Linked DNA regions of Lonchura striata. The protein of the gene in region 3 binds, or shares a complex with, the protein of the main gene of each other region. Links are inferred from orthologs where the notes say so. Each region holds a gene or a part of one and is shown on either strand. Other genes may lie near its edges.

Region 1 (3,750 bases), on a different chromosome or scaffold from region 3:
ATATTTTCTGAGCAAATGAGAAAAGAAAAAATGCTGGTTCCTATAAATGAAATATAGATTAGATGAAGAAACTGGGATTTTTCCCTACTAGACTAAAATTAGACATCAGCAAGTTATAAAAGCAGTATATTTGAGGTCAGTATCCAGAGTTTTGCAATACAAAATACATTGCTTTACACAGTGGCTCCTGTTTCATTGCATATAATAAAAAGCTAGCACTAGCATTTACCTCACTTAATTTACAAAATAGACTTAGATTGACACTGCATAACATCCTTATTCACTCAGTAGACTAAATTAAAAATGACCTAAACAAAATAAAATTTAAAAATGAATTAAAAATTCTTAAGTCGCTCCCTAGATAAATCCATGCTGCTCTTTAAGTAACATGCTCTTTTGTCAAATAGGACAGCACAGACTTGAACAGTCTTCTACTTCTGAGAAGTTGTTTTTAACCTTGATTGTCAGCTAAATCTGTGTGAGAATTAGTAATTTGGGAATTACTAACGGAGAACAGAGCTTTTATCTGGAGTCTGCAAATGCCATATGCAATCAGAAGGAACTGAAGCGTTTGGAGAAGACAGAAACACTCAAGATTCTCATGGAAAAGCTTTCAGCATAAATGTCTGAGAATTACTTATTTAATATTTTCATACAGTTATTCAACAGACAAGACTCAAATAATGTAAGAGGAATGAAAAATATAATGAAAGTGTAAATTAGCACCCACCCCCTCTCCATGATGGTATTTAATAAACAGCCAACAGGTGTGAAAACATTAGATTGTATTGTTCTTACTTAGTTCAATATATTTAAATACAGAAATATTTTCTGGACTGTTTAAAGGCTTACCCAGGAGAAAAAAAAAAAACAACAGAAAAGTCACCACACAAATCCTGCTCTAAAATGCATAATCTTTAACAATCCAGGAAATTTTACTACAATAGGTTAAAGTTTCATCTCTAAAGTGTCCTCTCTAAATAAAATTTAAACATCAAATTAATACAGAAATAGAAACTTGAGAATAAGCTCATACAATAAGCTCATACAAGGGTTCTTCTCATCGCCATCATCCACAGGACAACACAACTAAGTCACAATTGTCCCCAGCTGTCCACAATCTAATCAACAATTGTCACAACTCAGACTTGAACTTCGGTGTCTGCTGCTAAGTGCATACACACACATTTTATGTCTCTATGAGCAGGATAAGGCTGATAAATGTATCCTGTTAGACATAAACAATACAGCCTAAAGGAATTAGTGAGTTCCTTCAGGAATCCTAAATTAACATTTAAAACTAAACTGAATGCAATTTCTTAAAAATCATAGCCTGAGAGGAATAAGTCTCTTTGTAAGAGTCAGAATTCATTATTATATAAAGGAAACTTCCACAAAAAATGCATTATGTCAGTGAGGGAAGCATACACCAGCAATCCAAATCCCTGCATGACTGAAGATGCCAGTTCACTAATAAAACTGAAGTCGAATCTCAAAGAAACATTTACAGTCATACAAATCCATTACACTAAATCATATTCATATCCTCACTTTAAAAAAGTCACAACATAGTATCTAGTGAGTGCGTTCAGCTTGTCAATTTTGATTTCAACCATCTAATTTGGACATGGATCAGAAATCTTCTCTATCTGCTATAAAACACAAAGTAAAAAGCAAAGCTCTAGAGAACATGACAAAAGTGTTAACTCTCACTGAAAAGTGTCATTAAATAAACTTATAAACTTTAGCCTCATCACAAAAGTTGGAACTGGGGGGGGGGGGGAGGGGGGGGAGGGGTAGGGAGGAAGAATCAAAATTCACGGGGGAAAAAACCAAAGAAGTATAATTCAATCTCGGAATGTTTACCTTGGAACGGACCTTAAAGCTTGTCCAGTCCCATCAACCTGCCAGGGCAGGGACACCTTCCACTGTTCCCAGGCTGCTCCAAGCCCCGTCTAGCCTGGCCTTGGGCACTGCCAGGGACCCAGGGGCAGCCAGAGCTGCTCTGGGCACCTGTGCCAGGGCCTGCCCACCCTCCCAAGGAAGGATTTCTTCCCGAGATCCCACCCTGCCCTCCGGCAGTGGGAAGCCATTCCCCTTGCGATGTCCTCCAGGCCCGTGTGCCAAACCTCTCTCCGGCTCTCCCAGAGTCCTGGAAGGGGCTCTCCCTGCTCCTTCTCCTGTCTCCTGTCTCCTCTTTCCTTTCTCCTCTCTCCTTACTTCTCTCTCCTCTCTCTTTTCTCCTCTCTCTCTTTTCTCCTCTCGCCTCACCTCTCCCCGCTCCTTCTCCTCCCTCAGCTCCCGGTCTCTCGGCGCCGCCTGCCGCGCCCCGCGGCGGTGCGCGCATGCACGGTGCGCGGTGCCGTTGCCATGGCAGCGGGTGCCAACAGGGAGGTGCCGCCATGAGCCCGCCCGAGGTGGAGCCGCTCGTGTGCCGCAAATACGAGATCAAGAGGCGGCTGGGCAAGGGGGTGAGTGCCTGGCGGGGGTTGGCCTGGCCGGGGCCGGGCCGAGCTGGGGTGCCCTGTGGGAGCTGGAATGGTTCCGGAGCTCGGAGGGCCCTTGAGAGCTCGGGAGGCCCGTGTGGCGTTCAGGGCACCGTGAGGGCTCCAGGCGGCCCCGGGGTGCTGAGGGGGTATTTGGGAGTTCAGGCGTCCGTGGGAACTCTGTCGCTCAGGGCCCGCTGGGAGCTCCAGGGGACTGTAAAATTAAATAGTAACATGTATCTGTCTCAAAGTACATTCTTTCTGTGCCTGCCAAATCCTACATTTACTGTAACCCCATCATTTCAGGTCATGCTGCATCAAGTAATGTCTTCGCCATAAAATGTATTTTTATACATAAGCCAGTGGTAATTTCTAAGATATGTCTCCTGAGGCAGTCTCTAAGCCCTCCTGAGTTATCTACTTTTCTATTCCGGCAGCTCTTTGCTATCATTAATTGCGTTGATACGTATTTAAATGTTTAAGTATTTCCCTCATTATGTTCAGAGTCAAGGAGTCACTGAGGTGGAAAAGCCCTCTGAGCCTGTGGAGTCCAGCCACTCTCCCAGCACTGACAAGGCTGCCACTGACCCCTGTCCCCGGGTGCCACATCCACGTGGCTGTTAACTCCCCCCAGGAATGGGGACTTCCCCCTGCCCTGGGGCAGTCTGTTCCAGAGCTGCACAGCCCTTTGCAGGAGAGATTTTTCCAATACCCAACCTCAGCCTCCCCTGGCACAACTTGAGGTTGTTTCCCAGTTGCCAGTAGGGTGGTATTGTAGCACTTACCCAAGGTACTTGTACAACTGTTTATATTGCCTGATGCGTGGCAAAGGTCCTGGTGCCAAGTTCCAGGACCACACATGTTGCTGGGAAGCCTGCTTTGGTGTCCTTACATGAGTGTTTAATCACTAGAATCATACATTGCAGTTATTTTGCTTTGGATAAGTACTTAAACATTAAATGGGCATTTTTTGAGTGGGATGTGATCCCTTTGTGCAAAGGTATAATAATTCCTAGGCTGTGGAAAGTCCAGATTAAAATCTATGGCCTAAAATAAAAACACTGGATCTATACCACAAGTGAGACTGAGTAATCATCATTTGCAAGTATCACAGTCATCCAGAATAGGGAAACCTCAGATAGAAGTTCCCGTTCCCTTAACAGACAACACAGCTTTTAATTGAAAAAAAGGTTTAGTGTTGGACCTGACAGTGCTATGTTAGTGGTTGGACCCAGTGGTTTTGGAGGGCTTTTCCAACCTCAAC
Region 2 (3,750 bases), on a different chromosome or scaffold from region 3:
CTTGGGCTGTTATGTCTGCCTGGTAGTGTTAGAAATATTTTTTTTTTTTCTGTTAAAAATAAGTATTACCTGCTAAGACTTCCATCTTCACTTCCCATTCTGCTGCTTTCTTTTGGATGTGCTACAATAGTAGATAGTGTAAAAATGAGCTTTTTAAATTATCTTTTATAAACATCTACACCTTTGGACTTAATCAGTCTCCTGTGCTTTTAATTTTCAAGCCAAAGCATTAAATCATGTAATTATCTTGATGTATGTGAGATTGTAGTTACTTGATGTAAATAGTATTTATCCCAAACATAACCCACAAAGTAGCTGGCAAATCAGTGAAGCTACAGACCTCTATATAGCCAAATATTTTGTTGTCTGGTTAGTTCTTGCCCTACTAAAATGAAGAACTTACCTGTCGTGTTGAAGTTTTGTGAAGGGAATATACAGCTGTTTTTGCCATTTGTAGAGCAGTTTTCAGAAAAATCATATCAATTCCTAAAAGAATAATGAAACTATTAGAATTGTTAAATGAAAGCTCAAAGACCTGCTTAATTTTTTCTGGAATAATAGCTACTTGAGAAACAGCACTGAATACATTAAGGTACAGGAAATATTTCTAAAATATACTCAATTGCTTTTAATAAAATAAAAATGATAGGGATTCAAAATACCTAGTATTGTTTATTTCAAGCCCCAGTGACTGTTAGTTACAATGCTGAAGTTGCTAATCTTAGGAAGCCAATTCCAGATAAACAAAACATTAAGAAATTAGAATATGCAACTAATAAAGAAGGGAGATGTTTCACTGAAAGCATTTCCCTTGCTGTTTCATTTGTGTTGATTTCTAACTGAGCTTCACAATTACCAACCTTTGTTATGCTTGGTACCAAAAGGAGGATTCATAATAACTGTGTCAAAAGTATCTGACATGCTGTCAGATAAAGAACAGATGTCACACTGAACCATGTTGACATTTGTGAGATCAAAGTCTTCAATATTGCTATTAAATGTTTCCAGTGCATCTCCATCTATGTCAAGCCCCACACAGAATCTATTAAGAAAAGTGTCACATATTAGTCTACTACAAACTACAATGGCGTTAAAATTCTACAGTAAGTAAACACAACTTGTTTTATCTAGGAAATGTAACAAGTATACGTAATAAATTCAGTGCTGATAAAAATTCAAGTACTTCTGTTGCCCTTTCCCAAGTATATATCTAAATTTGTTAAGGAAGTTTAATGTGTTCATGTAATGCTTATGGGGAAGCAAATGACTTCCAAATTCATGACAGATGTCCATCACTTTCATGGTATGAATGGTGATTGATGGTTGAAACTTGGTACCACATAATAAACCGGAAATATTTTAGTTCAGCATTGCTACTCTTTAATCTTACTTTCTACTTTTCTATGACAGAAAGAAATATAACCAGAACTTAATATTAAATACTTACCCTGCTCCTAACATTGCACTTCCAATGCTGAGCATGCCACAACCACATCCTAAATCTGCAATTGTTTTGTTTTCAATATCGTCAAAAGTATTGTGAATTGTATAAAGCATACATGCTGGGGGAAAAAAATCCCAAATAAAACAGGTCAATAATGCCAAATATGTACATGATTAGTCAAGAAAAACTGTTTCTACCTTCAGAAAACTTAATTTTGCATTATAAACCCCCTTTACTTAAACTGATATTCTCTCTTTTCCATTTATATGTGAAGAATCAAAAACATTTTTATGAGTTACAGACTATGGATCTTTGGTGGAGAGATAGAACTCTGAGTATTGCTTGTGGAAAAAGTATGCCTCTAAATGTTTTGGGGGAAAAACAATATAAGGATTTAAAATATGGAAAAGAGCATGATTAAGGTATAGATGAGTGTATAGTGTATATACCCTAAAGTGACTATACACTTTTACTAGTTTTGCAGGCCATGACATAACTCCATTTCAGCTTCAGATTGGTTCTATCACAACATTATCTATTAGATTAATTTATTTTATTTTTGGATTGGACATTGTCCTAGGTTGCATTTTTCATACAAAGACAGGCATTACCAGAATACTACTATACACATTCCTGTTGGATATACTTTCTTAACTACTTTTAGTATAAAGCCTGCAAAGGAGACAATGCAGTAGAAAAAACTTTTTGAATGAAAAGTGATGAACTAGTAAAAGAGAAAACAATGGTGTGGATCACCTCTACCTGCAATATGAGGTCTTGTTGGATACTGTTCAAGGAGTAGTTTTGGACTTTCAAAAGTATCAACTTGTTGAAGACAGCTTTCCAGTTCTTTAAGCTTTAATTTCTTCATGTTTATGTTTTAACTGAAGAAAATAACGTGTAATCAGTTACAGCAATATAAATAAACTACGTATAATATTAAATTATTTCATACTTAAAATCCCCTGGTACTCTTCAGCCTCTCCCGGGCGTTTTCACGGTGCCGTTTCTCGGGACGCAGCTGGCGGGGCATCGATGATGGGGAACGAGGGCAGCCCTTCTCCTCACCGGCTGCCGGAGTTCGGGCCCTGGGCTCCGTTTCTACCGCTCAGGCCCGCCCGCCGCTCAGCCCTAAGCGGGGCAGGAGCCGAGCCCCAGCGACCGCCACCACCCGCACCGTCGGCTCGCCCACAGCGCCGTCTCCCCGCCGGCGCCCGCTCGGTACCGCGCCACTCACCGCGGCTCGGCCGGGCCGCTCCGAGCTCCGGCCGCCGCCGCGCACTTCCGACGCGCCGCCCGCCCCCGGCGCGCCCCGCCCCCGGCGCGCCCCGCCCCGGCGCGCCCCGCCCCGGCGCGCCCCGCCCCGGCGCGCCCCGCCCCGGCGCGCCCCGCCCCGGCGCGCCCCGCCCCGGCGCGCCCCGCCCCGGCGCGCCCCGCCCCGGCGCGCCCCGCCCCGGCGCGCCCCGCCCCGGCGCGCCCCGCCCCGGCGCGCCCCGCCCCGGCGCGCCCCGCCCCGGCGCGCCCCGCCCCGGCGCGCCCCGCCCCGGCGCGCCCCGCCCCGGCGCGCCCCGCCCCGCCCCTTCCCGGGCTGATGGGCACCCGCGGGAACCAAACGCCAGCGAGCTTCCCCGCGTCTCGTTAAAATTTAAGAGCTTTGGTCTCATATGTTATAAACACCAGACATTTTATTGCAGCCTTACGTGTCACGGCTGAGCGGTGCCTGAAAAAGCGCCGGGGGACACACCTGGCAGACCGGGCTTTCTCGGTGGTCCCACTCCCGAGTGCCCTTAGGGACACAACAAGGAACTGGAATTTTGCTGGTGGGCTGGGAAAAGCGGTCGTGCCGAGAAGAGTAACATTCACCTGGAACCGCAACGCGACACAAGCCGCCAGCAGACGGGCAGCCATAGGAAACGCAGGCAAAGCCAGAAGAGAGGCAGCTGCCTTGAGGCCCGTAGCTGTCGGGTTACTCTCATTTAGGAATAGATTTTTTCGTATAAGGCTTTCCGTTGCACTGTTGAAAATCTATTTATCGAGGTTTAAAACCGCCGATCGTTGTACGAAACACGGTAACTCGCATCCACGTGCGTTCTCTCCTGGTAGCAGGACGCCGGTACCTCGGGGCGCGGCTCCGCAGACACCCCGGGGTGCGGTGCTGCTGCTCGGCACCCCCGGCACCCCGCTCGATGGCAGCGAGGGCAGAACCGCCGGCCCGAAGCCTCAGAGGTGCCTTCCACACTCCCCGCAGTTGCTCCTGCCCTCAAAGCCGCCGCCACCACCTGAGCCCGGCGAGATCCTTGTGGCCA
Region 3 (3,750 bases):
TTAATAGTAAAACGCTTGTTAAAAAATACAATTATTTGCTTTTTAGCATCTTGGAATCGCTGTAACTGTAAGTATTTTATTACTGTAATTGCATTACTATTTTTATAGTATTTTTATGTATTTTTAATTTATATTTACTATTTTTATAGCCATTTTATTCTTATTAGATTTATAAAAATTTAAAAATTTTTCACAGGGTTTTTCCTTATTTCTGCAACTCCGTTTTTGGGGGTTTCTCTTTGATTTCTGGGGGGATTGGGATCCCCCTGTGAAAAATGTGAATTTTATGATTGGTTTTTTGCAAATATTAAAATGAATATTACACGAGTAATTAATTCTCTTCAGGAGCGCATTAAATATGTTTTCAGGTTTATAAAACCTCCAATCACTTGGTTTTTAAAAATTTAAAAGCTTAATAATGAAGCGCTTATTAAAAAAGACAATCATTTGCTTTTTATCATCTGGTAATTGCCCTAACTCTAAGTATTTTATTAGTGTAATTGCATTACTATTTTTATAGTATTTTTATATATTTTTAATTTCTATTTACTATTTTCATAGCCATTTTATTACTGTTAGATTTATGAAATTTTAAAGATTTTTCACAGGGTGTTTCCTTATCTCCGCAACTTCGTTTTTGGGGTTTCTCTTTGATTTCTGGGGGTGTTGGGAATAAATAAATTGAATTTGTGCCCCCGCCTTTGTCTCTGATTTGGGTTGGATTTGGGGGCCTCAAGGAGGGTTTAATGAATTGTAGTTAATTTTAAATAATTTTAATTGATTTTAACTAGCTTTAATGAATTTTAAATAATTTAAAATATTTTAATGAATTTTAAATATTTTTAAATAATTTTAAATAATTTGAAGTTATTTTAATGAATTTTAAATCGTTTTAATTGGCTTATATGAATTGTAATTAATTTTACATTACTTTAATAAATTTTAATTAATTTTAAATAATTTTAATTAATTTTATATAGTTTTAATGAATTTTAAATAATTTAAAATATTTTTAATTATTTTAAAATAATTTTAATTAATTTTTCATAATTTTAAATATTTTTAATTAATTTTATCCAGTTTTAATTAATTTTAATTAAGTTTTAATAACTTTGATTAATTTTAAATAACCTTAATTAATTTAAAATAATTTTAAATATTTAAAATTTTTTAAAATAAGTTTAATTAATTTTAATTAACTTTAATTAATTTTAAATAACTTTAATTAATTTTAAATAATTTAAAATATTTTTATTTAGCTTTAAATAGTTTTAATTAATTTTAAATAATCTTAAATATTTTTAATTATTTTAAAATAATTTTAATTAATTTTAAAGTTTTCATTAATTTAAAATAATTTAATTTTTTAAAATTAATATTAAATAATTTTAACTAATTTTAAATAGCTTAAACTAATTTTAATTAACTTTAATACATTTTAAATATTTTTAATTTATTCTAAACAGTTTAAATGAATTTTAAATGATTTTAAACATTTTCAATTAATTTCAAATAATTCTAATTAATTTTAAATCATTTCAATCGATTCTAATCACTTTCCTGTCTCTGCCCCTTTAAGCCAACCCCACCCTCCAGGCCACGCCCACTTCCGGGTTGGCAGCGTCCCGTTGCCGTGGCAACCGCGCGCCTTTCCTGGCCGGAAGTGACGCGCCGGAAGCGGAAGAGGCGCCATGAAGCTGCTGACCCACAACCTGCTGAGCTCCCACGTGCCGGGGCTGCGGCCCGGGGGCGGCTTCCCCCTGAGGATCGAGGTACGGGGGGCTCCCGTTATCCCCGTTCCGCTATCCCAGTCCCCGTTATCCCGGTTCCTTCCCGTTATCCCAGTCCCGTTATCCCATTCCCCGTTATCCCAGTCCCCGTTATCCCAGTTCCCGTTATCCCATTCCCCGTTATCCCAGTCCCGTTATCCCAGTCCCGTTATGCCATTCCCCGTTATCCCATTCCCCGTTATCCCCTTCCCGTTATCCCAGTCTCGTTATCCCATTCCCCGTTATCCCAGTCCCGTTATCCCATTCCCCGTTATCCCAGTCCCGTTATCCCCGTTCCGCTATCCCAGTCCCCGTTATCCCGGTTCCTTCCCGTTATCCTAGTCCCGTTATCCCGTTCCGTTATCCCCTCCCGTTATCCCGGTTCCTTCCCGTTATCCCGTTCCGTTATCCCAGTCCCCGTTATCCCGGTTCCTTCCCGTTATCCCAGTCCCGTTATCCCAGTTCCGTTATCCCAGTCCCCGTTATCCCATTCCCGTTATCCCATTCCCCGTTATCCCAGTCCCGTTATCCCAGTCCTGTTATCCCAGTCCCCGTTATCTCATCCCCGTTATCCCAGTCCTGTTATCCCAGTCCCCGTTACCCCATTCCCGTTATCCCAGTCCCGTTATCCCAGTCCCGTTATCCCAGTCCCCGTTATCCCAGTTCCCGTTACCCCAGTCCCGTTATCCCAGTCCCCGTTATCCCAGTCCCGTTATCCCAGTCCCCGTTATCCCAGTTCCCGTTACCCCAGTCCCCGTTATCCCACTTCCGTTAATCCCTAATGAACCCTGTTAACCCCTAATTAACCCCTAATGAACCCTGTTAACCCCTAATTAACCCCTAATGAACCCCATTAACCCCTAATGAGCCTCGTTAACTCCTAATTAACCCCTAATGAACCCCATTAACCCCTAATGAGCCCCGTTAACCCCTAATTAACCCCTAATGAACCCCGTTAACCCCTAATGAGCCCCGTTAACCCCTAATTAACCCCTAATTAACCCTGTTAACCCCTGATGAGCCCCGTTAACCCCTAATTAACCCCTAACGAGCCCGTTCAGCCCGTGGTTGCCCGCAGGCCGCCGAGGTGCGGGAGCGCCCGGTGCCGTTCAACGCCGCCTTCGTGTCCCGCCTGGTGCCGCGGCTGCGCTGGGACGCGCTGAGGGAGGCGGCCGAGAGCGTGAGCGGAACGGGAACGGCGGGGATAACGGGAGTGACGGGAGTGACAACGGGAATGACGGGAGTGACAACGGGAGTGACAACGGGAGTGACAGGGATACCGGGAGTGACGGGGATAACGGGGATAACGGGAGTGACGGGAGTGACAACGGGAGTGACGGGAATGACAATGGGAATGACGGGAGTGACGGGAGTGACAACGGGAGTGACAACGGGAGTGACAGGAATGACAACGGGAATGACGGGAGTGACGGGGATACCGGGAGTGACGGGAATGACGGGAGTGACAACGGGAGTGACGGGGATGACAATGGGAATGACGGGAGTGACTGGAGTGACAACGGGAGTGACGGGAGTGACGGGAATAACGGGAGTGACGGGGATAACGGGAGTGACAGGGATAACGGGAGTGACAGGGATAACGGGAGTGACAGGAATGACAATGGGAATGACGGGAGTGACAACGGGAGTGACAGGAGTGACAACGGGAGTGACAACGGGAGTGACAGGGATACCGGGAGTGACGGGGATAACGGGAGTGACGGGAGTGACAACGGGAGTGATGGGAATGATGGGGATAACGGGAGAGATGGGAATGACGGGAGTGACGGGAATGATGGGAGTGACGGGGATAACGGGAGTGACGGGGATGACGGGGATAACGGGAGTGACGGGGATAACGGGAGAGATGGGAATGACGGGAGTGATGGGAAAGGGGAATGACGGGAATGGGGAATGGGAACGGGAATAACGGGAATGGGGAACGGGGAAACGAGAAGGGGAATGGGAATGGGAATGGGAA

What was found.
Region 1: TRMT112 (region 3) and THUMPD2 share a complex: the UniProt entries of both Homo sapiens proteins name them as parts of the heterodimeric THUMPD2-TRM112 methyltransferase complex. The link is inferred for Lonchura striata from reciprocal best matches to the Homo sapiens genes TRMT112 and THUMPD2.
Region 2: the proteins of TRMT112 (region 3) and METTL5 are in contact, whole or in part, in a crystal structure (PDB 6H2V), measured with the Homo sapiens proteins. The link is inferred for Lonchura striata from reciprocal best matches to the Homo sapiens genes TRMT112 and METTL5. Residues at the interface, in NP_001359000.1 of Homo sapiens: Met1, Lys2, Leu4, Thr5, Leu8, Leu9, Ser10, Ser11, His12, Phe21, Pro22, Leu23, Pro34, Val35, Asn38, Asn40, Phe41, Arg44, Met45, Lys48, Glu92, Arg111, Gly112, Ile113, Pro114, Asn115, Met116, Leu117; in NP_001280115.1 of Homo sapiens: Asn52, Lys53, Val54, Gly75, Leu76, Val78, Ile82, Leu87, Asn91, Thr100, Ile102, Asp103, Met104, Val105, Gln106, Cys107, Asp108, Asn114, Arg115, Met116, Ser119, Phe120, Asp121, Arg150.

Annotation. Positions count from the first base shown.
Region 1 is NC_134603.1:379,203-382,952, forward strand, and holds the start of THUMPD2 (U6 snRNA (guanine-N(2))-methyltransferase THUMPD2), read right to left. Parts: upstream 2,338-3,750; 5' UTR 1,867-2,337; intron 1-1,866. Other genes in the region: MAPK15 (mitogen-activated protein kinase 15), read left to right, coding at 2,403-2,471. UniProt on the Homo sapiens protein: Catalytic subunit of the THUMPD2-TRM112 methyltransferase complex, that specifically mediates the S-adenosyl-L-methionine-dependent N(2)-methylation of guanosine nucleotides, most probably at position 72 (m2G72), in the U6snRNA of the major spliceosome.
Region 2 is NC_134610.1:19,743,687-19,747,436, forward strand, and holds the start of METTL5 (rRNA N(6)-adenosine-methyltransferase METTL5), read right to left. Parts: upstream 2,760-3,750; 5' UTR 2,682-2,759; intron 2,650-2,681; exon of another isoform or gene 2,329-2,649; 5' UTR 2,316-2,328; coding exon 2,207-2,315; intron 1,563-2,206; coding exon 1,448-1,562; intron 1,043-1,447; coding exon 861-1,042; intron 487-860; coding exon 404-486; intron 122-403; coding exon 70-121; intron 1-69. UniProt on the Homo sapiens protein: Catalytic subunit of a heterodimer with TRMT112, which specifically methylates the 6th position of adenine in position 1832 of 18S rRNA.
Region 3 is NC_134638.1:1,912,768-1,916,517, forward strand, and holds the start of TRMT112 (multifunctional methyltransferase subunit TRM112-like protein), read left to right. Parts: upstream 1-1,600; 5' UTR 1,601-1,691; coding exon 1,692-1,772; intron 1,773-2,847; coding exon 2,848-2,949; intron 2,950-3,750. UniProt on the Homo sapiens protein: Acts as an activator of both rRNA/tRNA and protein methyltransferases. Together with methyltransferase BUD23, methylates the N(7) position of a guanine in 18S rRNA.